Linked DNA regions of Callithrix jacchus. The protein of the gene in region 4 interacts with the protein of the main gene of each other region in a pairwise test. Links are inferred from orthologs where the notes say so. Each region holds a gene or a part of one and is shown on either strand. Other genes may lie near its edges. The genes, in order: RNF146, NRIP3, SENP2, KASH5, BAG5, CDC73 and BET1.

What was found.
Region 1: the proteins of KASH5 (region 4) and RNF146 interact in binary tests that used the Homo sapiens proteins (3 or more experiments, as listed by UniProt). The two-hybrid records come from large-scale screens. The link is inferred for Callithrix jacchus from reciprocal best matches to the Homo sapiens genes KASH5 and RNF146.
Region 2: the proteins of KASH5 (region 4) and NRIP3 interact in binary tests that used the Homo sapiens proteins (3 or more experiments, as listed by UniProt). The two-hybrid records come from large-scale screens. The link is inferred for Callithrix jacchus from reciprocal best matches to the Homo sapiens genes KASH5 and NRIP3.
Region 3: the proteins of KASH5 (region 4) and SENP2 interact in binary tests that used the Homo sapiens proteins (3 or more experiments, as listed by UniProt). The two-hybrid records come from large-scale screens. The link is inferred for Callithrix jacchus from reciprocal best matches to the Homo sapiens genes KASH5 and SENP2.
Region 5: the proteins of KASH5 (region 4) and BAG5 interact in binary tests that used the Homo sapiens proteins (3 or more experiments, as listed by UniProt). The two-hybrid records come from large-scale screens. The link is inferred for Callithrix jacchus from reciprocal best matches to the Homo sapiens genes KASH5 and BAG5.
Region 6: the proteins of KASH5 (region 4) and CDC73 interact in binary tests that used the Homo sapiens proteins (3 or more experiments, as listed by UniProt). The two-hybrid records come from large-scale screens. The link is inferred for Callithrix jacchus from reciprocal best matches to the Homo sapiens genes KASH5 and CDC73.
Region 7: the proteins of KASH5 (region 4) and BET1 interact in binary tests that used the Homo sapiens proteins (3 or more experiments, as listed by UniProt). The two-hybrid records come from large-scale screens. The link is inferred for Callithrix jacchus from reciprocal best matches to the Homo sapiens genes KASH5 and BET1.

The regions. Positions count from the first base shown.
Region 1 is NC_133505.1:133,838,641-133,842,901, forward strand, and holds the start of RNF146 (E3 ubiquitin-protein ligase RNF146), read left to right. Parts: upstream 1-1,461; 5' UTR 1,462-1,693; intron 1,694-4,261. UniProt on the Homo sapiens protein: E3 ubiquitin-protein ligase that specifically binds poly-ADP-ribosylated (PARsylated) proteins and mediates their ubiquitination and subsequent degradation. May regulate many important biological processes, such as cell survival and DNA damage response.
Region 2 is NC_133511.1:74,880,337-74,884,586, forward strand, and holds the start of NRIP3 (nuclear receptor-interacting protein 3), read right to left. Parts: upstream 2,801-4,250; 5' UTR 2,727-2,800; coding exon 2,553-2,726; intron 1-2,552.
Region 3 is NC_133516.1:14,535,634-14,539,921, forward strand, and holds the start of SENP2 (sentrin-specific protease 2), read left to right. Parts: upstream 1-1,488; 5' UTR 1,489-1,591; coding exon 1,592-1,692; intron 1,693-4,288. UniProt on the Homo sapiens protein: Protease that catalyzes two essential functions in the SUMO pathway.
Region 4 is NC_133523.1:43,158,454-43,161,953, forward strand, and holds part of KASH5 (protein KASH5), read left to right. Parts: intron 1-514; coding exon 515-619; intron 620-1,117; coding exon 1,118-1,304; intron 1,305-1,781; coding exon 1,782-1,846; intron 1,847-3,500. UniProt on the Homo sapiens protein: As a component of the LINC (LInker of Nucleoskeleton and Cytoskeleton) complex, involved in the connection between the nuclear lamina and the cytoskeleton.
Region 5 is NC_133509.1:138,390,412-138,394,485, forward strand, and holds the start of BAG5 (BAG family molecular chaperone regulator 5), read right to left. Parts: upstream 2,801-4,074; 5' UTR 2,347-2,800; coding exon 2,249-2,346; exon of another isoform or gene 2,054-2,248; intron 1,334-2,053; coding exon 1-1,333. Other genes in the region: COA8 (cytochrome c oxidase assembly factor 8), read left to right, coding at 3,137-3,259. UniProt on the Homo sapiens protein: Co-chaperone for HSP/HSP70 proteins. It functions as a nucleotide-exchange factor promoting the release of ADP from HSP70, thereby activating HSP70-mediated protein refolding.
Region 6 is NC_133519.1:50,305,204-50,309,428, reverse strand, and holds the start of CDC73 (parafibromin), read right to left. Parts: upstream 2,801-4,225; 5' UTR 2,602-2,800; coding exon 2,471-2,601; intron 2,379-2,470; exon of another isoform or gene 2,243-2,378; intron 1-2,242.
Region 7 is NC_133512.1:55,613,280-55,617,561, forward strand, and holds the start of BET1 (BET1 homolog), read left to right. Parts: upstream 1-1,482; 5' UTR 1,483-1,491; coding exon 1,492-1,588; exon of another isoform or gene 1,589-1,676; coding exon of another isoform or gene 1,677-1,695; intron 1,696-4,282. UniProt on the Homo sapiens protein: Required for vesicular transport from the ER to the Golgi complex. Functions as a SNARE involved in the docking process of ER-derived vesicles with the cis-Golgi membrane.

The DNA.
Region 1 (4,261 bases), on a different chromosome or scaffold from region 4:
ATAAATGAAAGGAATTAAATATGGGTTTGAACAAGAAAAGATGCAGCCATTTTCTTAAATACAAAGACCCTGGGTATGAGTGAGAAACAGTTGTAGTTGACATCTTACTGTCTGTGCCTGGATTCAAATCTCAGCTGTGTGCTTCTTTCTGTAAAATGAGAATAACAATAGTGCCTACCTCATAGTTTATTAGGAGAATTAAATGGGTATATATAAATAAAGCACAACACCTGGCACATAGCTAATTAATAATAGCATTATTTCTTCAAGTTGGAATCTTTGGGTACATTATCAAATTTTAGCTATTCTGTGTTCATGGGCTGTGTAGGATAGAGGGATAAAACTGAGTGGCTAATAAGAAGATGAAGATAGAAAACTAAGCTTAAAGGACATACACTTCAATATTTCTATATGTACAGAACTTGTAAGAAAAGCAGTTTTGCATACATGAGCAAGCATCACTGAACTAGATGGCACCTTTCAAGAGACTGGTTTACATATTGAGATATGAGAATGAGAACCCTGAAATAAACTGATTCAGAGGAATAACAGAAAACATATAAATTTCTATACATATAAGGTCGCTGAAAACTTCCCATCCTGAATGAAACATTTAATGAAATCCCAAAACGCAACACTATTGCAAATAAGACACTGTCATAAAATTTTGAAATACATACGCTTTTAAAGATAAAAGGCCTGCTCTTCCACCCTCTTCATTTTCCTACAAATTAGGAAAATTTAATCAGTTCTGAAAAAGGAAATGTACATGCGAAAATGGTGAATACTGCTAGAGTTCTGATGTTTTAAACCACAGGCTTGCGATCAAAATAACCTCTTTAATTTTAGATTCTCATGCAGATTAATTTCTTTCTCCAGTTTTTCAAGCACTATTCTGTTTTTTTTTTTTAAAAAAAGGAGGGGTTCAAAGGGAAAGTAATATCCATGCTTTTCCCGATTAAATTGCTCAACCATTAAAAAGGTGAATAAATTAGAAAGCCCTAGAATACTCTACCCCCTCGGTCCGCCCCCCACCACCCTTTTTTATTTCTTGAAAGGGAAAAGCAGTTCTTTTGCCAGGGGATCTTCAAGCCGAAACTCGGCTAGGCACCCCAGGGCTTCTCCCGGATCGCAAAACTGGATTTCTGCGCAGCACCACCTGCAGTTCCTACACGCGTTTTACTTCCTCCACCCCAAATCTGCTTGCTGGAGCTGCATTCTTTCAGAGCCTCTGGCCCCTAATACAAACAAAGTACACTCTAAAGCAGCCAGAAGGATCCAAGCAGCGAAGTCGCGGATCCCCACAGGCAGGAGAGTGCAGGCAGGCAGCGGCGCGAAACCGGGACGGAACGAAGAGACGCCGGAGCGAGCCCGCGGGTGCGCGGCGCGGCTTCCGCCCCGCGCGGCCCCGCCCCCGCGACGCGCCGGGTGGTCACGTGAGGGCCGCGCGCGTCCCCGGCCGCTGCGGGCTCAGAGGCCGGAGAGAAAAAGACTGCGAGGTGTCCGCTGCTGTGGCCAGAGAGGTGGCAGTCGGAGCGAGGCCCTGTCGGGGGAGCAGGGAGAACTCCGGCCACTCCAGGACCCTCACTGGGGGAGAGGAAGCATAGCTCGCGGTGTCACCTTCAGCCGCGACGTACTCCGGGTCGGCCTTGCGCTCGGGGCCTGAGAGGGGCGGCGGCGGGGTCAGGGGCCGGTACGTAGATGGACGCCCTTGGGCTGGCGCGGCCGCGGCTGCCCGCGCAGAGGCGGGATGGGACAGCTCAGCCTTTTCCGCCACCCCAGCCTTGGCTGCGGTCGCAGGCTAGACGGCCGTGACAGCCCCTGTGCTGCCCGAGGGCGCCGCAGACCCTGCCCTGGGTGACGGCCTGAGCTGGTCTCGGTCGGGGTGCGAGGGGCGGAGCAGCGGCCATTACTGCGCAGCCTCTTCCGCCGGAGCCCGCGTCGGTGCCTCGGGTAGCAGGCGGGTCCCTCTCCTCCCCCTGGGCCGTGGTGTCAGGCCTCTACGCGGGGACCTTCTGGCCTCGAGGTGTAGGGGCGGCGATGGTTTTTTGGCAGTAGCCTGCTCCCTGTTTCCCGTGTGGGGTCAGACACTTTGGGCCTTGGGTCAGATCGAAGCCAGGGCGTACAGTCTGCATTTTGTCTTTTCCCGGAGTGTCTCTGGCTGCTGCTTTCTCTGCTCTTTCTCTTCCTCCTTTTTCTCCTCCTGCTCAGTGTCTCGGTCTTGCCTAATACGAAGAGAGCATTCCTGCACCTTGTCCTAGTGAAGCCCCGCATTGCATATTCTTAGCTGTTTTGACGGCTGTTAAAGCATCGGAACAATTAAGAGGTCTCAGAATGTCCCTTGAGCCTCCAGACCCTCTGTACATCTTAAAAGCCGAGGCTGTTGCTTTGTTCTGGTTGTTGGGTGGGGAGTTCTCTTCCTACCCTCCATCCAGTCTGAAGGAGTGCGGGTCTTCCATTGTTGTCGCTATTTATTTTTCAAAGGCTTCTAAAGAATGTAAAATTATTTTTAAGAATGTGGAGAGGGAACCGTCCTCTCCACAGGACTGTAAGTTTACACACACATCCTGGCAACAAGAATCTTTTCTCGTTCATCATTTTGGTATACGTTTTAATTTAAGTGCCGTTTTAGTGAGCACTTATTTCTCAAGTTTTGAACATTTTAAGTGATATTTTTGTAATATTGAAACAATGTACAACTGAGGAGAGAAGAAAGCCAAAAGATGATGGGGAACGCTTTGTTCTTTGTATGATTGACATTTCAGGTGCTGGGCACATCACCCCCACCCCGTGTGTGTACTTTTCAAATGGGATGTGAACGTATAATATTGGCATTCAATGCAGTATATAATTATAAATCTGGAAGACTTAGGACATTTTAGTCAGTGAATCTATATTTAGACTTTTAAGACATGGCACGTAAGGACACATGAAGAAAATATCCCACACAAATAACAGGATTTGTGATTGTGCCTTTGCTGTTTTATGACTAGCAAATACTGTTTTTGTGGACTGTCTTGGTGCCCTAAAAACACATGAAAATAGGTCAAGTAAATCTCATTTTAAAGAGAAAACTGGAAGAGTGAATGCCACTCTAAAAATAGATTTTGGATGTGTTTGTTTTGGTGCCTTGTATATTTTAAAGTGGAGGATGTTGTTCAGCCCAATCTTTCATTTACAATTTGTGTCTCAAATGGGCCAGTGTATGCTGTGGGCAGAATGGAAATACATTTAGTTTTTCTTTTCTTCGATGGTTGTTCAGAACTTGGTAGAATTATAATCATCAGGAAAACTTTGTCCAAATAGCTGGTCTTTAGACAAGAGGAAGAAAAAACAATTAACTGTTTTGTAAAGGCGATGTCCACTTGCAAAGTGTTTTGTTTCAGTCTCCACCAACTTACATTGTCAGAAGAAAGGAACAGACATTTTTTTTTAAAAGGATCCAAAACGATATTTTGAGTTAGAAGAAAAGGATATTAAATTTTCTGTTTTCACAATATCTATCTGTTTAAAGAATATTATTTTATGTGCTAGCCATATACTAGCATGAAACGTCTAACAGCACTGTCAGTTGGGAATTCGAATGTGTATTTTTCTTCGGTGTTAGTAATAAAAGGTACTGAGCCTTTTCCATTCTCTTACCTGGTTCCCTTGTGCCTGAGGAGTCTCAATTTGTGAAAACAACAGGCTGGATCGGGAACAATCTTTTTGGGTATAGAAACCAATTTATTTAACACTTGGCTACAACCACCTGTGCTTACTTATGAACTATCTTTAGTTTTCATGGCTTATTACCTTTTGGGTTAATTTAAATCCAAAATGGTTGTTAACTGACTGCTAATTAAAGCATTTAGAACGTAAAATATAAAGTAGGACGAGATAACAAAACACTGGGGGTTATGACTTGACCAAAGTCACACAGATAATTTGCCAAAGAGCCTTTCTTATTTATGAAATGGTTGCTGGCTAAGAAACATCTGTGTTTGATATTATTAAAAGATTTGTTCACTTTTATATCTCATGTTTTGAAATAAAATGCAAAGCCCACTTTTTTGTTGTTGTTTTGAGAAAAATTGAAGGGTTTAAAGCGCTAGTATAAAGATTGTGAGGTCAATAAGTAGATTGCCACATAGTAACGTTTTTAAAGGGAAATATTCTTTAAAGTATCAGACCCCATTTAGTTGCAGTGAGTTTTGTTGAAGTTTTCGAGTATGACCTATGCTTTTTCTTAGCTCATTTTTAGCAGGTGATGATGAGGGCT
Region 2 (4,250 bases), on a different chromosome or scaffold from region 4:
ATTCTAAAAGGGCTGGCAAGTTGGTATCAAGCAGTGAACATTACAGAAACAGCATAGTAAGAGGTAGATAATTCAGAAATCCCAGCAGCATAATTCAAATATAGGTTACTAGTATGACAACCTACCATCTTCACAAACCCAAGTCAGTTACAACTAATTTTTCCTCTCTCCCTTATCTCCCTTTGGTGCTATCCCATCCCTTTTCTTGGACCCATTATGTCAAGATTATACTATAAACTACTTCAACTAAGAACTATTCAATTAATTTTCCCATCCTCCAAATTTCCCTTGCAGTGAGAGAAAATGGAGTCAACACTGGTCTATCCCAGATGTATTTATAAAGTAAAACTATAAGAATGTACTTCATAGAAAATGATTTTTGAAGTTAATTTACATATAAAAAGAAAAAAGAAAAATAAATGCACTTCTGAGATCACTTCTAAGATTGTACTGAGGCTGCAACAACAGGTCGGAGAGTTTAAGCATGCTGCCTCACTCCAGCGCTTGCAGCTCTCCTAGCCCTACCTCAGTCTGCCTTGGTTTCTGTAACCTGGCTGTTCTGTGCAATCACTTGCACATCATAGGTGTGAAAACAGTGAGAGGGAAATCAACTCCACGACGATGGGGTACAGAAAGCATGAAGCATGATTCAGAGCCTCACAGTCAACTGGCATGTGTGAGTGTGTGTCATACTCACGGCAATATCCTACTTCTTGAGGCTCCTTCCTTTTTGCAGCCTACTGCCTGTGCTCTATGCTATCAGCCTTTCATGACTCAACTGAGACAGACTGGAGTCAGAAAAGTGGATGGAATTCTTACACAGCATTAAGTAGTCTTATAAGAAATCCTAGACGGAAGGAAGCTCAGGTAGTTCTCAGAACCAGGAAACTCCTTGACAACCCGGGACAACCAAATTCCAGCATTAAAAAAATTCCGTATTTTAAATCATCTCTTAATTTAATACTTCCTTCTTTATTGGCTTTATTGATTGCTGAGCATTCTAGGAACTAGGAGAGGATTACTTGGCCTGAAGGAAATAATACTTCTTGAACCTGATTTGTTCAAGATTTGATCTAGATTTGAATCTAGATCGCTTTAAAGTGAAGGAAGGGAGAAAGAGAGTTATCTCTTTCACAGGAGCACATTTCAATCACTTATCACTCTGGGTTAGCATAAATCAGATAAACTATCCTTTGGCTTGTGCAAAACACACACACACACACAACTTTTAAAAAACAGAGCAAGATAACTGAAGTAGACAAACCCTGCACAGAAGTAACTAATGGTGGCAGGGAGGAGACAGATGATATTGGTACCTGTGTGTCATTAGAGCTGTTAGATTAAAAAAAAAAAAAAAATGGATGCAGAAGCTCTGCCCTCCTGGCACCAGAAATGGCAATTTCGTGAACTAGGGCCAACAACCACATCCAAAACTAAACATTTCAAAAGCTTAACATAAAAAAAAATACTAGGAAAATTAGGCAGAGCACCTATTTCATTTGTTAAAGACATTTAATTAGTGTTTTATACATTACCACACAAATGCATAAAGCGATTGAGAAATTCAAAAAAACAATCAAACTACAAGAAAACTCCAGATAAAACTATAAAGCTAAACATAAACTTGGCTCAGGACCACGACAGTGGCTGAGGGATGACAAGATACAGTTCTTTATATCGGTAATCCTTAGCCATCCATCCCATTCTATAGAAAGAAGACAGTACCATCTTTGACCCCTGTCCTGGGCTGCTTCTACTTAATGCCAAGAACAGCCATACTAGAGGGGAAAAAAAGAAAAACCAAAACACTGCACCCACCCCAGCTCCAAATGCACACATGAGCTGATCGGTGAGATGGAGCAGCCTGGCTTCCTCTGTCTACCCACTCCTTGGGGGCGGGGCTGGAAGAGAAGAAAATGATGAAGAGATGTTGGGGGTTCAGGAAACCTTCACATTCGACCCCTTTTCTCTCTCCCCACTCAGGATGGAAGATCAAAGGCAGACAGGACCAAAACTAGAGAAGTAGATTTTGCCTAGGGGGACAATGGACTCAACAAAACCTCTGGATCTGGCAACTGTCAAAAAAAAAAAAACAAAACAAAAAACAAAAAAAACCCTTTCCACTTCTGTCTCTCCTCACACAGCCATTAGGAATCACCTCTGTCTTGGTCATAGGACCAGACACCTAGCGTGTGAGGCACAAGCCCCATGAACAAAATTCAGGGTATTAAGAATAAGGGGAGAGAAAGAAGACCTGAGGGAAGGAGGGAAGGGCAGGAGGGCAGGGCAGGGCAGGGTCTCTTCCTTCTACTGGAGAGGAGAGAGACACCCAGGGAGGAGGCACAGCCGAGGGGAGCGCTAGAAAAGCCACGACGGAATCCCCACCGAGACCGCAGCAGGGGTGCTGGAAGGGGAGGAATCCGAGACCCAGCGAGAGTCAGCCAGGGACAGCGGCGGGCCGGGCCGTGACTCAGTGAAAGCCGCAGCGGCAGGGCCTCGGGAGACCGCGGGCGCGAAGCCGCCGGGGCCCGGGCCGGGGCCGGGGAGCTCACCGTGTCCTTGGACGAGCCCAGCTTCTTCAGGCCGTCCAGGGGCAGCAGGTCGGCGGAGTCCTTGTGGATAAACTGCACCGCCTGCTTCATCCGGCGCTGCTGTCGCAGCGACGCCGCCTCCCGCATGTCGGTCTCCTTGCGGCCACCCTCGGTGAGGAGCCCTGAGTAAAACATCGCTGAGGCGCCTGCGGCCCAGCGGCCGGGTCGCCCGCGGTTCCCCTGCAGCCTCAGCCTCGAGCTCCTTCAGCACCGCAAGGGCCGCGCGCCGCGCCTTTTATAGCCGAGCGTGACGGCGCGGGGAGCAGCCAGTGCGCGCGCGGGGGGCGGGGCCGGCACAGCATCCACGCCCCGCGCGGCTCCCGGACTTCCCCCGTACCCTGTTCAGGTCGGCGCTTCCCAGCCCACGGCAAAGAGAGCGAGGAGGGGGCGGCGCTGGCAGGACCAACCTGGAGGGCCGAGAGTCCAAAGCGGCCGCTTCGTCCAACCGCCTCCTCCCGCATAGAAGCCCCGCATCCCCTGGACGGCCGTGGGCTCTGGGGTCCGATGCCCTGGCAGCCCCGGCCACCTCCGCCTCTGGCCGCGGGTCCCTGCTCACCTGTCCACGCTGTGGCAGACCCGGGGATCACCGACAGCCGGGCCATGCCTCGATTCCCGCCGCCCGCGCCGCTGCTCGGCCTCTCAGAAGCACACCTGCACGCCGCCAGAAGGGGCTCCAGCGCCCACCGCCTGGGCCAGGAGGACTGGCGACTCCCTCCGAAGTTGGGAGTGCTCGGAATTTCTCCAACTTCAAGTCGGTCCCCACCCACCGGGCCACGTGACTGGGGAGGGGGCAGCCGCTGCGGGCGTGTGGAGGAGTCTGTCGGGACCTCCTAGCCCGAACACCCTCTGCCTGCAGCCCGGCACCTGGCCCGCGTTCCCGAGCCGGGGAAGCAGGTGCGGTTCCCTACACCTGCTCTCCGAACGGAAAAGCACCTTTATCAACAAGTGCTAGGGCTTACCGTCTGAAGGATCTTTCACCATCTCTCCAGCGTCCTTAGTAGGAGCAATTGGAACCCGTTTTTTTTCCCCTGAATAATCCATACTTTTAATCCATTCTAATCGGGCCTTCAGGCCTCCTGGATTCTGGTCTCGACGCTGTGATTTAATACAAACCACGTTTCCACTCTGGAAACCACAACTACCCTCTTCGCCCCATCACACAGGAGCAGACCTGGATAAGAAATATGTGCACTCTGCAAAGAACCATTGAGAAAAGTAACAATATCGATGCTTACTGAGCCTTCACTATGTGCCAGGTACTGAAATAAACACTTAAAATGCAGTGTCTCATTGAATCCTGGCAACAGCTTGTAAGATAGTATTCTCATTACCCCCATTTTACAGGCAAATACCCGATACCTTCTGTCTGGCCTCCTGAATGCTCCTGGTTCCATTCCAATCCGGTGTTCACTGTGCTGCTGGAGTAATTTTCTCAAACGACAACTGTGATCGTCTCACTTCCCTGCTAAGAGTACCTCAAAAGGCTTCCTACTGCTCTTAGGAGAAACCCACATTTTTGCATGGTCTGCCTAGACCCTGTGTATCCACTCTGCACTTCAGCCTCAAGCCTTCTTCCAGTTCCTTTCAGTCACCTTTGCCAAATGACCTGCCTTTGACTGTCCTGTTCCTTCTGCGTGTAGTGCCCCCTCCTACCCTCTT
Region 3 (4,288 bases), on a different chromosome or scaffold from region 4:
GGAGTGTAGTGGTGTGATCTCGACTCACTGCAGCCTCTACCTCCTGGGCTCGGGCAGCCCTCTCACCTCAGCCTACCAAGTAGCTGGGACTACAGGTGCATACCACCACACCCAGCTAATTTTTGTATTTTTTGTAGAGACAGGGTTTTACTATGTTGCACAGGCTGGTCTCAAACTTCTGGGCTCAAGCGATCTGCCCACCTCGGCCTCCCAAAGTGCTGGGATTAAGGCAGGAGCCACCTCTCCCGACCTATAGTAGGCAATTAACTAGAAGTACGACTTTGGGATTGTAGAGGGAGGGTAATGAGACTCATTCCTTACCAGCCCAGGGTAGGAGACATTAATGGCCGGCAGGTTTCACCCTTAAATTTCTGTGAAGCCTTTCTTGACATCTGCCCTTTCCTTCTCTCCTTCAGTGTGTGCTTTTCCTTTCTCTGGCTCCCACTGCACTCTGCACATACCTTTATCACAGTAACCACTTATGCTGTATTGTAATTTGTAATTATCTATGTACACGTCTCCAAGTAGACTGACCTTAAGGGCTTGTACTCAGCCCCCGGGTTCAAGTTCCAGCTACGTCTCTAGTTAGTTTTGTGATCTTAGGCAAATAACTTAATCGCTCTATGCCCCAATTTCCTTGACTTATAAAGTTGGCATAAAACTCTCTGTCATATGCGGTTGCTGGGCGACATTAAGGTGACAATGCGTGTAAAGTACGAGGCAAAAGGTAAGTACAAAATAAACGGCTCTTGGCCGGGCGCGGTGGCTCAAGCCTGTAGTCCTAGCACTTTGGGAGGCCGAGGTGGGTGGATCACGAGGTCAACAGATCGAGACCATCCTGGTCAACATGGTGAAACCCCGTCTCTACTAAAAATACAACAAATTAGCTGGGCACGGTGGCGCGTGCCTGTAATCCCAGCTACTCAGGAGGCTGAGGCAGGAGAATTGCCTGAACCCAGGAGGCGGAGGTTGCGGTGCGCGGAGATCGCGCCATTGAACTCCAGCCTGGGTAACAAGAGCGAAACTCCGTCTCAAAAAAAATTTTTTTAAAAAATAAAAAAAATAAATGGCTCCTAAAACGGTAAACATGTGTTAATTAACCTGATCCACCTTTACGTGTGCAAACACTTGAGCACCAAATGTCCTCTGGAACCCCGGAACGCCTTCTCCTCGGTGGAGCAGCCTCACGTGTGGCCTGTGGGCCTTGTCCCACGGGCCGGCTCGGAATTGGCTCCGCCGAAGAGAAAACTCTGCCCACAGCCCTTCCGATCTCGTCAGCGATTGGGCCGGGGCCGTCCCACACTTATTCTTGTTGCTGGGCTCGGAAATAGGGGGCGCTGCCAGGTTGCGCGTGCGCAGATTGAGAATGAAGTTTTCCGGTTGGGCGGGAGGAGGTAACGTCAGGAGCGGTGGCGGGCGGGGGCCTCGGGTAGCCCTGGGGACGCTCTATCTGTGGGCCCTTAAATCGCGTCACAAATCAGCGACCGAACTCCGGCTGTGGTGGCTGAGACGGCGAAGGCGGCAGCGGCGGCGACAGCTCTGGGGTTTGCGTCTCGGGGTGTGTCGGCCGCCGCTGCTGCTCGGGCCTGGTATGTACAGATGGCTGGTTAGGATTCTCGGCACCATTTTCCGTTTCTGCGACAAGTCGGTGCCCCCTGCCCGGGCCCTCCTGAAGAGGCGGCGCTCAAACAGGTGAGACCAGAGGGGGCTGAGCAGCGGCCTGGCCCTCCCCCCTCCCCCACAGCGGCCTCCTCGGCGGCTGAGATGCTTTGATTCAGCCAGGCTCACCTGAGGCGGGTCACCGGGGTCCGAGTGACGTAGCCGCCCCCGCCACGCCGTGGGGAGGCAGCTCCTGGTCGTCTTCGGAGCGGCAGATGATGGCAGGGTCGTTGACGTTCTTGTCAGAGGCCACGCTGGTTGCCGATAACTAATGGGGCTTTGCCGCGCTAGGCTGAACACCAACATTGAAGGAATACTGCCTTTGTTGTGGCTCACTGCTCACAAAGCAGCCTCCCAAGTGTCATCTGCGGTCATTAAGTGCATTTAAAGGAAGTGAGAGTCATACATTGCCCAAAGCCGTTTTGACTGCAACCACTGTCCTTGAAGCGAGAAACAGCAGCTGTTTTGTTCTGAAACAGCTGTCAAACAGTCTGTGTTTGGGGCCAGAAGGGTTTTGTGTTTTAGAATTAGTGAATGAGAAAAAAGGGCTACGTGCCTTATTACTTTAAAACAGTCACTAGTCTGTCCTCTTAAATTAAGTTAAAATTTGGGGGAAACTCAAAGCAGTTTTCTTTTTCTTTTCTTTTTTTTTTTTTTTGGTTGAGACGGAGTCTTGCTCTGTCGCCAGGCTGGCGTGCAGTGGCGCGATCTCGGCTCACTGCAACCCCCGCCTCCTAGGTTCAAATGATTCTCCTGCCTCAGCCTCCTGAGTAGCTGGGATTACAGGCGTGTGCCACCACGCCTGGCTAATTTTTGTATTTTTGGTAGAGATGGGTTTCACCACCTTGCCCAGGCTGGTCTTGAACTCCTGACCTAAAGTGATTTGTCCACCCCAGCCTCTCAAAGTGCTGGGACTGCAGGCATGAGCCGCCGTGCCCCGCCCCAAAAGCTGTTCTTATTTAGCATCTGCTCTTTGGAGCGTCCCATTTTATCGAATCGACTGACCTCCTTGCCTAGAAATTAATCTAGAAAATAACATACAAATTCTGCCCCCTCCCCAAGTTCAGTGATCAAGTGTTAATTTCATTTTTTAAAAATTAAGCCTCAATATCAAGAAAAGTGAAAGAAGTGGTGATTTGTGGAAGCTTGCGAGGACAAGATGTCTAATACGTTAGTCTGAGAATGCAGGTTATTAATGAAATTGGTTGTTGCTTAAACTGCATCTCTGGAATACATTGCCTTATTTTTCTCTCCTATCTTTCTGTGGTGTTGATGTAAGGTTCATTTGAGAACTTGTTGTAAAGTGCTTAAACTGATGCTCAATGTATATAAGGGTAGTGTTTGTTTATTCTACCCCGGGGTCTTTTGCAGACTCTGGTGCATGATAAGCACTAGGTACATATTTATCAAATAACAGAAAGTTAATTCCCTTTCCCTTGTCCTCTTTTTGATGTGAGTCCCTTCTAGTCTGGGGAACATGGTTTGGAGATCAAAACCTTGATTTTTACTACATGTTAAGTGTGTTCACATCCTTAATCCAATTTTCAGTGTAAACCAATTTTCAGTCAAAATGAAACCAGGAGGCTTGTTGGAATGTATAAAGGTATGAGCTGAGTGGAATCCTGGGATCTCATTCTTCTCATTTTGTGTGTGTGTGTGTATGTGTGTGAATATAATAGATGATAGGTGTTCAGAGAGACGATGAGTAATATGCTGTGAGCCTTTAACATTCTTGACATCTGGATCCTGAAACTTTCCTCAATTCCGAAGTTCTTTATTACCACCATAATGCAATGTAGTTTGCATGATAAAAGTTATTAAACACCTTTTTCTGATTCAGATTTCTCTCTTTTAAGTTGTAGAACAGGTTTTTTTTGTTGTTGTTTGTTTGTTTTTTGAGACGGAGTTTCATTCTTGTTGCCTAGGATGGAGTGCAATGGCGTGATCTAGGCTCACTGCAGCCTCTGCCTCCCAGGTTCAAGCAATTCTCCTGTTTCAGCTTCCCGAGTAGCTGGGATTACAGGTGCCCACCACTATGCCTGGCTAATTTTTGGTATTTTTAGTACAGATGGGGGTGGGGTGGCATGGGGGGGGCGTGTTTCACTACATTGGCCAGGCTGGTCTTGAACTTCCGATCTCAGGTGATCCACCTGCCTAGGCCTCCCAAAGTGCTGGGATTACAGGCGTGAGCCACTGTGCCTGGCCTTGTAGAACAGTTTTTTTTTTTTTTTTTTTAACTCCCTTACACACACAAAAGAAAAAACAAAAATTAAAAAAAAATATCTTTTAAGGCTGTTCATGTTAATACTGTCACCTAAAGTAAAAGATGGCTTTCTAGGCTGGGCGCGGTGGCTCACGGCTATAATCCCAGCGCTTTGAGAGGCCGAGGCGGGTGGATCACACGGTCAAGAGATCGAGACCATCCTGGTCAACAAGGTGAAACCCCGTCTCTACTAAAGCAAAAATTAGCTGGGCATGGTGGTGCACGCCTATAGTCCCAGCTACTCAGGAGGCTGAGGCAGGGGAATTGCTTGAACCCAGAAGGCAGAGGTTTCGGAGAGCCGAGATTGTGCCATTGTACTCCAGTCTGGGTAACAACAGCGAAACTCCGTCTCAAAAAAAAAAAAAA
Region 4 (3,500 bases):
TGCCAGCCTTGCCTTGGGGATGCAGGGAGGAGAGAGCCCTGGTCCCCAGGGTGGGCTGGGAGACCGGAGATGCGGCAGGCGGGATCGATCTGGGCTGCCCACGCATTATTGGATTGTTCCTGGCTCCTGAGCCCCCTTCACTCTCAGCTCCTCCCAGAATTCTCTCTTCTTTGCCCTCCCCTGCCCTGTCCCTCTCTGAGCCCAGCCTAGGAGGCTGGAGAGGTGAGGAGGAGAGGATGATCTCAGAGCATCCTTATCTGGGCTCCTAAGCCAATTGGACACAAAAAGATAGCAGAGGGGACTTCCTAGTCTGAAAGATGGGGGGAAGTGACTCAGAGACCCTCACATTGTTGCCCCCTCCTGAAGCTTCCTGCTGTTCCGCACCAGCCCTAACTCTAGGTGCTCTGAGTGAATTCCCTCCCCTCTGCAGAGCCCAGGAGGCTGAAGACCTGGGGTCACCCCTTTTCCTTCCTCATTCTTCTCACTGGGGAGCTGGGCCCTCTTGTCCCCACAGTGTACCTCTGGAAGCAGCCTGAGGAGGCAAGTCTGGGAACGCCGCTCAACTTGGAGGAGCAAGTACTCAACTCCACATTCGAAGCTTGTGATCCTCACAAGACAGGTGGTGGGGGCAGGAGGGGTGCTGGGGACCAGTGCGGACAGGATAGGGATGGAGGCTGGGAACTGGGGAGCCTCAGAGAGAAAACCGGGCTAGGGCCGCCTCTTGGGGGTATTGTAAGAACAAAGTGCATGACTGTGGGCAACTTCAGGAAGAAGAAAGTAAGGGGGTGGATGCCTTTTAGAATGAGGAAAACTCTGGGGCTATTGATGAAGGAGGGTAGAGTTTTGGGGTCTTGGGATGGGGAAGGGAGGCAGCCACCATGGTGGGGTGGGGCATGGGGTACTGTCTCCATATCCATCCCCTTTGGTTCACCCTGTGATGGACAGGTGAAAAAGTTGACTTAGAGGAGGGGAAAGGACTTGCCCAATGTGTCTCCACTGGGCCTGAAGCAGGAGTGCCACCAGCCTAGCCAGTGACATCCTGCTCCCAAGCTGCTGCCATTCCATACCCACCACTCCCCACCTGCCCCAGACCCCCTCACTTCATGCTCTGTCCCAGGCACTGTGGCTGTGGCCCAGGTGCTGGCCTACCTGGAGGCTGTGACAGGCCAGGGTCCCCAGGATGCACGCCTCCAAACATTGGCCAACAGCCTGGACCCCAATGGAGAGGGCCCTAAGGCCACCGTGGACTTGGACACTTTCCTGGTTGTGATGCGTGACTGGATTGCTGCCTGTCAACTGCATGGGTGAGTCCCCACACCTTCATCCTCCTCTGGGAAGTCCTTCCTAAGATCTAACCTCATACCCACTTACTGCAGCTAGCATTCTTTAGGCCCAAGGACCTACTGTGTTTGAAATGAGACTGTGGAGAGAAAAATGAAGAGATGGGATTCAGAGAGGGTAGATAGAGAGTCAGTCTGAGGACAAAATAATTTGGATGAGGAGGCAGAGGGGGCCTGGGAGTCAAAACAGGGTTGGAGAAGGGAGGAGCTTGGGGGCTGACAGAGAAGTCCCTCCCCATCCCTTCACCAAACCCAGCCCTTGCCCCTCCTGCTTTTCCATCTGGCTGCAGGCACTGGCCATCTGGCCCCATCATCCTCCCCTGTGGTGCCAGCTCTTACCTGACCTGGTCCCCTCCTCCCACCTGCAATCCCCCTGCCTGTGGCTGGTGAGGATTGAGGGGTGGCTACAGGGGGGCTGTAAGCCTCATCCCTTTGATACAGGGGATTAGAGCTGGAAGAGGAGACCGCCTTCGAGGGAGCCCTGACCTCCCAGCAACTGCCATCTGGTGAGATTTCTATATATAGAAATGAAGCAGGCAGGCCCTGGGTCAGACAGTGTGGGGACTTACCACCCAGGGCAGAGCAAGGGATAGGGTGGGAACCAGGGACCTAGTTGGGTAAGTGTGGCTTTCTAGGTCCTCCATCCCTTCCTTCCCTGAGCTTTTAGGGTGTTTTTTCTTCAGAGGGTAGTTTCCAATTCCTCCTCACACCAGCCCTATTAGAGAGGCCTACAAAGCCCTGCCTACCTCTGCTCCATCATCATTAACCTCTCCTCCTCCTCACTCTAGTCCAGGCACTCAGGCACATTGGCTCTGCTGCCCTACCTTGAATGTGCCTCACTTCTGCCCAGCACAGGCCCCTGCTCAGGCTATTCCCCTCCACTCCTCAATCCCCACCCCCTGCCCGACTTTTCACACCATCCTTCATCCATCATACCTCTGGCAAAGGGGAAGCCCTGGGATGCCCCTGGCTAGAGTTCCTTGCTCCATGCTCACTCATGGACTAGCAGGTCTTTCCGCTGGATCACCTACCTGCAAAGGAAATCTGATTATTTAGTTATCCACTGGCCCCTGGGTTTATTTGGTTGGTTTGCTCACCATTATATCCCCAGGACCTCACACTTAGAGGCAGTGCTCCATAAAAAAGTGGTCATGATTACAGGCTCACGCAGGGAGCCTTGGCCTCCCAAAATGCTGGGATTACGCCAGCATTTTGGGAGGCCAAGGTGGGAGGAACATTTGAGCCCAGTAGTTTGAGACCAGCCTGGGCAACATAGTGAGACCCCATCTCTACTAAAAATTAAAAATTAGCCGAGTGCAGTGGCACACACCTGTAGTCCCAGCCAGGATGCTGAGGCAGAAGGATCACTTGAGTTTGGGAGGTCAGAGCTGCAGTGAGCCGTGATTGCACCACTGCACTCTAGCCTGGGCAATAGAGCAGGACCCTGTCTTTAAAAAGGCAGAGGAGCAGGCACAGTGGCTCATGCCTGTAATCCCAGCACTTTGGGAGTCCAAGACAGGTGGATCACCTGAGGTTGGGAGTTTGAGACCAGCCTGCCCAACATGGAGAAACCCCTGTCTCTACTAAAAATACAAAATTAGCCAGGCATGGTGGCACATGCCTGTAATCCCAGCTACCCAGGAGGCCGAGGCAGGAGAATCGCTTGAACCCGGGAGGTGGAGGCTGCGGTGAGCCAAGATCATGCCATTGCACTCCAGCATGGGCAACAAGAGCAAAACTCCAACTCAAAAAAGAAAAGGTGGTCATGTTCCATTTCTCCAGCCATACATACAAAAAAGAAAGTGGGGATGGAAGTTCTCTTCAACCTCCTTCATCAGACTTGGCCCAGGGAGGGCTGTGAGCAGAGGAGGGACTAGAGGCCGGGAGGCCAGAGAAGAGGCTGTGGTGAGGGTCCAGGAGGAGAAGGCAAGGGCTAGGGTGTGGAGACAGAGAGGAGGGGTGGAGCAGAGAGAGTCAGGGGCAGGAGGGAGAGGTCTGGATCCTGCTAGACTATGGGGGTGACAGGGAGTGAGGGAGCCAGGTCAGCCCAGTGGCTGGGTAGCCAGTGGGGGATCTGGGAAGGGGAAGTGCTGCCTAATGTTGGGTGTAAAGAATGTGGGGGGCTGGGGTTATCTGGAAGATCCAGCCTGAGCTCAAGGT
Region 5 (4,074 bases), on a different chromosome or scaffold from region 4:
GAGAATATTCTGGGCAAGCTTCACAGCCTGTTTCCGGGCAGCCTTACACTTCTCCTCTCCCTGCGGGTCGACAGCATCCAGGGCCAGCAGCTGCTTGGTGAGCAGCTCTTCCAGCCGGATGTAGTTCTTATCGGTTCGATTCCCATCAAACGAAAGCACTTCTCCCTGGATCTCGGACAAGTTTCCAAGGACGTTCCAGACGGCTTTATGGGATGGGTGCTCCTCACAAGCAATCAGCTTTCTTTTCTCAAGGGCCTCCTTCAAGTCAATGTACGTGATCAGAGTTTGCACTTCTATCACTGCTCTTCTCCTGGCCTCTCGGATGCAGGGGTTCTTTTCAAGACTTACCTCATCCAACTGTCCAATCAAACCCTGCAATTCTGTTTTGGAGCTCAGATACAACTCAGGGGGGTTCTGCGCTTGGAGGAGTTCATTTTTTATTTCTCTCATTCTCTTGAGGACCTTTTCTATTTTTAAAATGGAATGATTCTGCCTCAGGTCAAATGCTCTAGTAGTGTCTGCTTCCTCTTCTAAATCCAGGTATTTCAATAATTTGTTAATATCTTCCACTACCTCCCTCCGGTAATTTCTGATTTCTGTCCGGCCGCACACATCCAGAGCATCCAGGTCGGCCATCAGCCCGGACAGCACACAGGATAAGTGCCTGCAGGTCTCGCTGCTGTTCACACCCATCAGAAGCGCAATCAGGACCCCTCGGGCCTTGTTCACCTCACACATCACAGAGTTGATTTTGGCAACAGAAGGGTGTGCATCCTCAGACAGCGGCAGGGAAGGCTGCTTTTTCATGCAGTCTTCGATAATCTCTTGCACTGCACAGATTTTGGTTAAAGTGTGATACCTTGCTTTCCGCAAGGAGATCTTTCCTCCAGTTTTAACATGTGTCAGCCTCAGAATGATGTCCTGGATGCCTTCTTCGAACTCATCAGTTATGCAGTTGCCGCCATTATAAAATGGCACAATTTTCTCTCTCACAAGGGACTGGGCTTCCTCAAAAATGCTCTGTATTTCAATCCTGTGTGGGTGGTTTGCATTCTGCTCCAGCTCTTTGAGAAGACGTTCCGTCTCCTGTGCCGCCCTCTTCCTGGCTTGCTGAATATCTCCTTTTCCTTCAGTATCTACAGAGTCTATTTCAAAAAGTTGTTTTGTGAGAATCCGCTCCAGTTTCTTGTAATTCTTGTCATCGGACAGACCACTGAAGCCGACGACTTGCTGTTCTACACTTTTTACTTCCTTTTGGATTTCCTGAAGCCTGCTAATAGAAGGATGTTGGTTTCCCATATCCATACTTTTGTGGTGGTCAGTTTCACAAGCACTAAAAGATGACAAGAATAACTTATTACAGCACAAAGCTTCTGCAGAACATGAATGATATATTAAGACACTAAAATTCTCATTTAAACAGGTATACTGTCATCCCACTTCAGCCTCCCCAGCGGCTGGGGTTACAGTCGCACATCACCACGCCCAGCTAACGTTACCACTTTTAGGAAAGGCACGTCTCACTATATTGCCCAGGCTGTCTGAGACAATCCGCCCGCCTCCGCCTCCCAGAGTGCTGGGATTACAGGTGTGAGTCACTGCACCCGGCACAAACTCTGTTTTTGGAACCAGCAAGGCACCTTTGTGCAACGTGAAGCAGTAGCTCTTGTAACCTGCCAAACATTAACAGCACCCCGCCCCCGCCAAACAGCTATGCCTTAGTTTCCAGAAACTCTAAGCCAAAGACACTGAACCACTAGAACCAAAACCAGGGGCTCTCAGCCATCCCCAAGGTTCCCGCTTCGTGGTTTCTCTCCTCGCCTCTGTGCTCCTCCCTGCCCCACCCTTTTAGCTCCTCACATATCTGCCCTCACAGGTGTCTCCCTGAAGAGCTAAAAACCCCACAGGTCAAGAAGAGCGACGGGGACTGCGCTGAAGGCGCCATCTTGGGCCTTGGAAGCCCAGAACCTCCTCAGCCCCTACCATGCTCCATTCTCTCAAAAAAAACACGACCCGCGAACACGTGGTAATTATGAATAATTCATTCACTCGCTTCCCACTGAGAGTCCACAGTGGCTCAGTACCTGTTTCAAGCTATTGGTTTCTACCAAACGGCGTGCTCGAGGTGGGCAACCGACGGAAAAGCCTCCACCCCCTGTGGGTGTCCTGACGGCCACGGAGGGCAGGCCGCCGGCGCTCCTTCCTCCCCGCCTCGCCCTTCCCTCTTGGCCCTTTACCCAGAAGAGACCTGAGCTGGCTGCAGTCTTGGCGTCCCGTGGTTGAGGTGGGAGGTGGAAGACCAGCCCTTCTCGGGGTGCTGCACCGGAGCTGGGCCCCCAGCTGCATCCCTCGCGCCCCTCCCGACTAGGTCCGAGCCGGGCAGCGGTGAAGGCGCCGCCACTTTACTGCTGCAGCAGCTGCCCCGGGCGTCTCGGCCCGGGTGCCAGGGCGCGCCCGCCGGCCCTGACCTCACAATGGGCGCGCGAGGGGCGCTCGGCCCGGCCGGGTAGAGCCTGGCAAGGAGGGCAGCCGAGGCCCCGCCGGAGACACCAGAGACCAGACCTGGCCTGCCCCGACCCGCGTCAGACCCAGGGGCGGGGACGACACCGGGTCCCGCCCGGTCCTGCCTGTGCCAACAGGCCACGCGGGGGTGGGCGCCGGGACAGGGGTGGCCGGGTGGGGAGCCCCGCGCCGATGTGAGGCTACACTCGTCCCCGCGACGGAGGGAAAAGGCCACACGCCGCACTTTGCTTACCTGTCCCGCCCGCGCCATCGCGCGACGCGCCGCCGACGCCTCCGCGACTTCCGCAGCCCCGGCCGTCGCTCGGGCCCGCCAGCCCCGCCCCGGGCCGAACAACCCCAAACCCGGGGACACCTCCGGCGTCCGCTCCTAGCCGCCGACAGCACCACGCCCACCGCCAGCGCGCAGCGAGGCAGCCTGGAGTGGCCGCGACCAAGGAGCGGCCGGTCGGGTTAGCCTGCTTCGCCTGTCGACCCCGCAGCCGTCGCACCGCAGGGAAAGTGCACGATCGGCCGCGTCGCCGCGCTCCCTCGGGCTTCGCGACCCTGCCGTAAAACGGTCCCTCGCGTCGTCGCAATGCTGCCGTGCGCCGCGGGAGCCAGGCGCCGTGGGGCCATGGTGGCCTTGCGGGCGGGAAAGAAGCGCCTTCTCCTTCCTCTCTGCCGCGCCTTCGCCCGCCGCGGTTGTCAGCTCGCTCCCGAGCACGGCGCCGAGCGCAGGGATGCGGCTCCCAGCGGGGTAAGCTGGCGCCTGGGGACGTTGGGCCCGGAGGGGCGGCCCCAAGGCTCTCGCGTCCACGCCCTCAGTCCGATGGGACCAAGGGTGCCGCCGCCCCGTCGGGGACTGTTGACAGCCAGAAGCTTTAAGCATAACAGAGTCACCTGCCAAGTTTGTGCCTACCTTATTTATTCCTGAGAATTAATTTTTTAATTTGAGACAGGGTTTTGCTTTTGTTGCCCAGGCTAGAGTGCAGTGTCGCGATCTTGGCTCACTGTAGTCTCCGCCTCCCGGGTTCAAGCGATTCTCCTGCTTCAGCCTCCCGCGTAGCTGGCGTTACCGGCACCCACAGGCACCCACAACCACGTCTGGCTAACTTTTGTATTTCTAGTAGAGACGGGGTTTCACCATGTTGGCCAGGCTGGTCTCGAACTCCTGACCTCTGGTGGTCTGCCCGCCTCGGCCTCCCAAAGTGCTGGGATTACAGGCGTGAGCCACCGTGCCCGGCCGGATAGTTGTTCTTATTTGCACACTGTGTGTGGGTATATGCATGTTACCGGCCAAAGATTCGCAAAGAATGTCTGTAGCAAGAAAGAGTGACAAGCAATTTTCTTTTTTTTTTTTTTTTTTTGAGATGGAGTCTTGCTCTGTCGCCCAGGCTGCAATGCAGTGGTACCATCTCGGCTCACTGCAACCTCCACCTCCAGGGTTCAAGCGATTCTCCTGCTTCAGGCTTCCGTGTAGCTGGGAATACAGGCACCCACCATCTCACTCAGCTAATTTTTGTATTTTTAGTAGAGACGGGGTTTTACCATCTTGGCCAGGATGGTCTCGAT
Region 6 (4,225 bases), on a different chromosome or scaffold from region 4:
ATTAGGCTCTGGGCTTTATCAATAAAGAAATTCAACCATATCCTTATTGAAGAGGATCCATAAGAGAAAACAATCAAACTGCTCAGAAGAAGCACAGTTACCACCAGTGCTGAATATGAAAGAAATTTACCCTACGGCTCCTGCTAAATAAAACACTGTTGGACAACACCCTTCACATTCTTACAGTGAGCACAGCACTGGATTTCAGAGATATGACTGTCATGACATCCCTCAAATTAGACCAATCATGCAAAACCAAAATCCTACTCTACCTGTGATAAAACAACGTGATATACTAATGGTGCAAGCTCTCTAATGCAGGTCCTACTGTTACCTCATTCCAATCGCACCCTTCCTAACTACACTTGTCCCATCTATATAGCTTTGAATCCATCTGCGTACGGCCCACAGTAATCGGCCCTAAACCTACTTTTCTAGCTAGCTTTAGTCCCGCTTTTCCTCTAAACAGGTGTATTTCGAACCACACACCACTATCAATTATTGTACTATGAAACCCAGTTAACAACTGTATTTTTTCTATTTTCAGAATAGAAGAGAAAAATAAAATGCACTGCGTGCAATAAGAAGAATGATTTTACATGTGTATATATTTACATGTGCATGTGCACATACAGAAAATAAAAATAATTTCTTGATGTGATTCACTGTTGAAAAAGTTTAAAATCTACTGTGCTAAGCATTCCTTTTTCACTGGCTTCACTGAATTGCTGTCAATACATTTACTTTCTAGTTCTCATGCCTTTAACCATACAGTTCACTCATCTTGGAAGACTTAACCCATCATTTTCACCCAGAGAACTCCTATCTACCCTTTAAAGCTTATTTGTCACTCATTCAAGAAAACTTTGTTGGATGTGAACTTGCCAAAGACAACTCTATAGAACTTTCCCTAAATACTTCTAACTAGAAGTGACTGCTGTCTTCATAAGCTATTATAGAAAGCCTTTCACACCAACTTACCTGTTTAAACTCCTGTATTCGGATTAAGTTAACCTCCTTTGAGGTAGAAACCACAACTTAGAAATTTTTTTAATCCTCAGATTGAACCACTTCACATTCTAGGTACTCCTTAGCCATTGTTTAAAGAAAAAAAATTTTCATTAAAAATCCAACCACATGTAATTCTATCTATGCAAATTCTTTGGAAGGGTAAAACACAGAAGCTCTGAATGTCATTTGATCAACATTTTATAAAGCTAATTAAATTGTAAGACCAAAAAAATTAAAAACCAACCAACAGGCCGGGTGCGGTGGCTCAAGCCTGTAATCCCAGCACTTTGGGAAGCCGAGGCGGGCAGATCATTTGAGGTCAGGAGTTCGAGACCAGCCTAACCAACATGGTGAAACCATGTCTCAAACACAAAAATTAGCCGGGCATGGTGGCAGGCGCCTGTAATCTCAGCTAATCCGGAGGCTGAGGCAGGAGAATCACTTGAATTTAGGAGGCGCAGGTTGCAGTGAGCCAAGATTCTACCACTGCACTCCAGCCCGGGCGACAGAGCAAGATTCCCTCTCAAAAATAAATAAATACCAACCAACAAACTAAATTTCTGTAGTTTTTCATCGACTCTTCATAAAGCTTCCATTCAAACAAAATGAGGAGGTTAAGTTCCAGCTCAAGGTTCTAATTACCTAAGTGAAGCACCAATGACAGTGATGTGACATCATTAAAAAGGCCCCTAACGACTGTTAGACCTATCTCTGTAAGTTTTTCTGAATGACTAAAATTGACAAAACTTCACATGGACCGACATTGCAAAGCACTTCCCTTTAAAAACACACTTCCCAAAACACACACTATCAATTTCTTAGATCTGTAAAGCGAACCCCATTTCCCCAGTAACTCTCTGAGAAATTCCTGAAGACCTCTCTCACACAGATTTTAATGACTCGCCCAAATTCACCCAGTTTCTTTCCGATCCTAACTTCAGAGTGGATTGTTTTTTTCTCCTCTACAAGAACAAGCAGCCGTGGCTCCCCACAGTTAGCAACGAAAGGAGAGGAAATAAGCCATGCGTTCCCAGGACCAGAGGAGATAGTTACATGGCAGCCCCGAAGAGAGGGGGAAAGGAAACAAAACAAGTGCCGCCCACGGCAGCAGACGGTCTGCCCCCTGGTGCACCTATGCTCAGGTATCCCTGTGCGCCAGCCCCACACTGCGCGGGCCCACGACACCTACCGCTAAGAATTAACTGTGAAAAGTCCGAAACTCCCACGGTACCTTTCCTCGGGGCTTCGCAAACATTTAAAGGGATGGACGGCTCCAGAGCTCCTCCCCTTCTCTCCTCGCCCTAGAAGTACAACTTCTGCTCTCGAGAGAAACTTTCTCTCCCCGAGCACCCGTTCATCCCATCCCCGGGGGAAACGGGGGGAGGGGTTATCAAAGAGGTCGCCTGGGGGCGCCCAAGTCCGCCCCGCCACCCGCGGGCCGCAGCCACGCCGGACTTACCCCCAAACGACATAGTTGGTCTTCACATTCTTGGGCCAGGAGAACTCCCCGAAGATCACTTCGTCTCCCTTCACCACAATCTCCTTCTTCTGGATGTTGTACTGTCGCAGGACGCTAAGCACGTCCGCCATCTTCCGCCCCCTCGCCGCCGCCGGCCCGGGGCGCCGCCGCTGCCGCCGCGCCTGCCTCCTTCTTTCCCTGTCGCCTCGCCCTCTTCCTCCTCCTCCTTAGCAGCCGCGACGAACCAACAGCAGCAGCACTAACAGCCGTCCTCGCCTACGACAGCAGCAGGGGCAGCAGCCGCCCAGGCCGCCGAGGACCCCGCGCTCTGAGGCAAGGCCCCGCCGCCGGCTGCCCGCGGAGAACGCCTGACTGCGCTCTTCCAGCGCCGCAAGTCCGCCGCCAGGGGGAGCCGCGACCGCCTGGAAAAGGGCCCCTCCCAGACTTCACCTCGGCACGGAGCCCACTCGCTCGCCGAAACCCTGAGCGCCGAAGCACCGCGCCCACGTACGGCGCACGTACGGGGAACACGGTCGGGCGCGTGCGCGCGCAGCACGTACCCAGTTCCCCGCGGCGCGCACCCGGCGGCGACAGGTGCGCGCGTACCTGCGTGGCAGGTCCGCACTTTCATCCTCAGCACGTGCACTGAGTATTTAACCACCGGCCTCGGGTGCGACCAGAGGCTCCCGCGTCCCTGCTTTGGCCGGGTTGGCATTTGGCAAGGATTTGCAGAACACTGGAATTACCCTCCTATCTAGATCGGACCCGGGCCTAGCCAATGACCTCTAGGGCTTAGTGATCCGGAGAAGCCCTTTTGAAAGGGTGGGGCCCTTGGGGTTTGGGTTCGGGTTTATTGTTTGCTTTTGATGTGAAAAATAACGAGTTTGGGGTTTTTATTGGTTTTGAATGGAAAAGACCGAGTCCAGCAAAAAAAAAAAAAAAAAAAAAATTCTGGGCACTGCTGTTTGTTAGTTATTTGACTCTGGTCGAGTGATAGGGCTTCGCAAAGCATCAACTAGTTAATGAAGAAAATGGGCTTAATACAAAGATAAGGTAAACGCGTCTAGCAGGTCAATGAAATATCCTCACTGTTGGATCCTCCTGCTCCATTCTTTGGATGATGACTTTTTTTATCCCAGTCCCTTCACCCTGCCAATCCCCTGGCCTCTCTACTAAAAACACAAAACAATTAGGTGGGCATGGTGGCGCACACCTGCAATCCAGCTGCTTAGGAAGCTGAGGCAGGAGAATCGCTGGCACCTGGGAGATGGAAGCTCCGTGAGCCAAGATCACAGCACTGCACTCCAGCCTGGGCGACAGAGTGAAACTCCACGTTAAAGGAAGAAAAAGAAAATACAATCGTATAAAATGCTCAGTTAAAACCACGAACAAACCGGACGCGGTGGCTCACGCCTATAATCCAAGCATTTTGGGAGGCCGAGGCGGATGGATCACGAGGTCAAGAGATCGAGACCATCCTGGTCAAAAAGGTGAAACCCCGTCTCTACTAAAAATACAAAACTTAGCTGGGCACGGTGGTGTGCACCTGTAGTCCCAGCTACTCAGGAGGATGAGGCAGGAGAATTGCTTGAACCCAGAAGGCGGAGGTTGCGCTGAGCCGAGATCGTGCCATTGTACTCCAGTCTGGGTAACAACAGCGAAACTCCATCTAAAAAAAAAAAAAAACCACGAACAGCTGGGCGCAGTGGCTCAGGCCTGTAATCCCAGGCTGAGGCAGAAGGATTGCTTGAGCCC
Region 7 (4,282 bases), on a different chromosome or scaffold from region 4:
AACAAGCTCAATATGAACTAGCTTTGCCTTACTTCAGTTATATTCTTAGTACATTACATATATTTTTTCCTTTTAACTACATTTCATTCTTATGTCTTCCTACCATGTAAAGGAAGAATATATTTTAGGTAATTCAAATGATTAGTTTTGGTAAATATTAACTGATTTTCAAAAATGACAATTTCTACATTTTCTATCAGCAAGCCTTCATTAGGACAATTTTTAAACATGTTTCATTATAAAACATGCATTTTTTAATCAAACAAAGGACATAGATTAAAAGTTGTAATGGGATATCTAGCTATCATCTATTACTGAATCTCCATCTTTTATTTGTAATTGTCCCTGATTTTATCCTCATTTAATTCCATTGCTTTTAGAAAATGGCGTTTTAATTTTAACGAAGATTTTTTTTCCTATGGAAACCTTATTGAATAAGTCTTCCTTCTCAGGTTAATAACTCTCATTAAAAGTAGTTTTCATGTGTTTTATACAAAAACAACTTAATGCAGAGACTTGTGCCACTATTATGGTCAAGGTTAATAATGTCTTGGGAAACTATGAGAAAATACTAAATGATCAGAGATCACGTATTTGTGGAGTGGAGACGATTCCACTACCATACATATGGCAGCAACAACAAAACTGGAGATACCCAGTGGATTTTGATTACCTACTGTGTATCAGATTTTTCTTTCTCCGAAAACCATGATTACCGTATTCTCATGATAAATAATCCGGTGAGACAAAATGAAATTCTAGGATTAACCCTGATACCAGCAACATCTTCACTCGCCAACAAGCTTTTAAACCCCCAAACTGGCTCAATGCCTTGTGTAAGCAGTATTTCAATAACATTTGCGTAAGTTAAAAAAAAAAAAAAGTTAAGTGGGAGGGAATTTAGGGGTCCTTTGTTCCCTATAACAACTAAAAGTCTTGGTTCCTCAAATACAACAGATGCAGTAACAGTAACGGAACTATTCAGTGTCTCCTATGAGACCCCACGCTTTTCCTGGGCTGCTCCCATCTGAGCAGGAGTCTTACTCCAAGGAACCTGGTTTTCTCTCCTTTACTGGATACATGAGGTACAAAATCTGTTACTTCTGTGGATGTTGGATTACTTGTTTGTAAACTGAGAAACGTGGACAAAGTCTTCTCTAACTTTCCCTGCACTACCTCTGGAGGTAAGAGAGAGTACAAGGCTCAATCAGGAAAGTTATCCCAATCAACCTCTTGTGGGCCCGGAGGAGGAGATCTGTTAAGTTAAACTTGGTGGTCAATAAACTGAAAGCAGCGACCCGGAGGGCCGCGAGACAAGCAGCGGGGATGTTGGATAAGAAACCCAGAGTTAGAGCCGCAGCCGAAGCCGCCCCCTTTTCCGGAGCCCCGTCCGCTCCTGGAACCGGGTTCACACCACGCCACCTGCGACACGTTCTGCGTCAGTGAACTACATTTCCCAGAATGCCATTCAGGCTTCTTCCCAGGGCTCCAATGAGCGCCCTAGTGACGCCATCAGTCGGCTCGGTGTTTAGAATCTACAGCTGTCGTGGCGCTTTGCTGGAAGAAGTTGGTGTTCCGCGGGGCCCTGGTACTGAAGACGCGGTTCGGGTCACCCCTAGCTCTTTCCTACCCACCTAACCCCCCGCGCCCGCCTTTTTCCTCTCTCCTCTGGCAGGATGAGGCGCGCAGGCCTGGGTAAGAAGAGGGCCGAGGTTCGAAGTTCGGGGCCCTAGAACCGGCCATGCTGGGCGCGGGAGCGCGGGGGCGCGGGAGCAAATCGGAGCTATCTTTTGTTCTTGGCATTTGGTCCAAAAAGCAGGATCTTTAGAGGGTATCTTTTGGGCCTTGTCGAGTGGAAACACACCATTTGTCCCAGATCCTAGGAGTTTCCTTAAGTTTGAGTCAGATTCAAGTTTGGATGGTAGGCTAGAGAAAGCATTGGACTGGGGTGGGTGTGTACAGGTGACATCTCAGTGGTCGAGTGTTTTAGTGTTATTGACTGAGCTTGGTTATGGACACTGGTGTGTTTTACAAAGCCCGACTTCGGTTTCTGTTTCTCTACTGGCCCTGGATCTTTGTTTCTTCAGAAGCGGAATTTGAAGAGTGGGTAGTTGCACGCAAAGCACACTGATAATGGTCGTTAATCTGGTAACAGTGAGTTACAAAGGTAAATGTACGTGTCATTACTGTTAAAGGTCCTGGAACTGTAACATCTGGGTGAAAGGCGATTTCTTATCTGAACCTTGTGCCATGATTAAGGCAGTAGAATGTAGTAAGGTTTGGTATCTTAACATTTGATCTTGACCTTGGGGTTTAGGAAGCTGGCTCACCAGCAAGAATAAGTTAGGCACAAGGAATTTTAATGGTCCTCTATAGTAACATACAGCTATTAGAGCAGCGTTTTCTGGTTCTGAAGCTTTCTCTTAGGACAGTATTTTTTTTTCTAATAAGACTGCTACATTAGAGTGCTGTATACTTCAGAAAATAAATGAAACATTTGCAAAAAGATAATGTTATCTATCTCAGTCATTATAAGATTTAAAAAAAAAAAATTCCAAAAAGTGTCAGATATTTAAAGTCAATGAAAGTTGCCAATAACTATAGACTTGTTATCGATTAATAAATTGTAGTATGAGAAAGTTTTTTTTAATGAAGTTTTTATGACTACTTGGATCATAGAAAGAATGTAGGGCCAGGTACATTGAAGAGAAAAAAAAATAATTTTCAGCAAGTTTAGTTTTATATACCTAAATGTTTTTCTTGTTCATCATCATTAATGATAAAAAAGGATTTATTGTGTGCCTGAGTAAGCTCTAGGTTTACAGTTGTTTGCTGCCCTCTTTGTGCTCCCCAAAGCTTCCAGTCTAGGTGTGGAGTAGGAATATGTGCAAAGATAACTTATAGTACAAAGTAGTTGCTATATATCCAAATACCAGATAAGTTCTGCATATAAGTGATGGTCTCAGAGGCTTCAGATATAGATCACTGTATACTTTGTGGAGAAGATCCTTGTGTATCTTGTGGAGACTTAGGAATTTGAAGTAGACCTTGAATAATGGAGAGTGGGGGAAGTGAGTTCCAAATGGGAACTCAAAAAAGTAAGGGATTATGACTAAGCCAGTTTGGTTGAAGTAGGGGATGAAGGATCACACTGTGGAGATCTTTGCATGTGAGGCTGAAGAGTGGATTTCATGGCCAAAGAGTTTGGATTTCATCAGTAGGCCTCTAGGCCCTTTGGAGTATTTTTCTGTTGTAGTATGCCATGTTAAATTGCAGGAAAATGACTTGAGAAATGGTTCTCAGCCCCGGGAAGTTTTAAACTTATTGTTACCTGGACCTCAGCTCAGCCAGTTAAATTAGAATCTCACTAATTTAGAGCCCACTACCCCATACTCCTTTTTTTTTTTAAAGCGCTCTCCTGTGATTGAGAGGAGAGGTGATTACTTAGGTAACTGCTATTGCTATAATTTATATTGATGTGAAGTGACAAAGGCTTTTTTTACACATTTTTTTCTTTTCTTTTCCCTCCCTCCCTCCCTCCCTCCCTCTCTTCCTCCCTCCCTCCCTTCCTTCTTTTCTATCTTTTTTTTCTTTTCTTTCTTCTTTTTGAGACAGAGTCTCCCTCTGTTGCCCAGGCTGGAGTGCAGTGTTGCAATCGCAGCTCACTGCAGTCTCCACCTCCCAGGTTCAAGCAATTCTCCTGCCTCAGCCTCTCAAGTACTTGGGATTACAGGTGTGCACGACCACACCTGATTAATTTTTGTATTTTTTAGTAGACGGGGTTTCGCCATGTTGGTCAGGCTGGTCTCGAACTCCTGACCTCAGGTGATCCACCCACATTGGCCTCCCAAAGTGCTGGGTTTACAGACATGAGCCACTGCGCCTGCACTTCTTTTCATGTTTTTAAGTATCAATGTATATTGATCTGAAATTTTAAATTTGGGATTGTAGTGAATCTGATAGATATTCATAGGCAGAAGCTGTCACATTCATATGTGTCTCTAAATGGTTCTGTTAGCTTACTGATAGAACCTATCCAAAAGAAGAATCATTTTTCTAAACTAACAAAGGCTGTGTATGATCTTCAGTACCCGCTAGCTTTTTTACACCTTTCATAGCAGTATACCGCCAGAAGAGAAGTGGCTCTGTTCAGAATAGCAATTCTAGCATTTTATTTGTTTTTGTTTTTTTGTCCATTGTATTTGGGGTGGCTCATAATTTGAGAGAACATCAACTCTTTAATAGGAGAAATGTGCATTAACATATTTTTGTACAATAAACA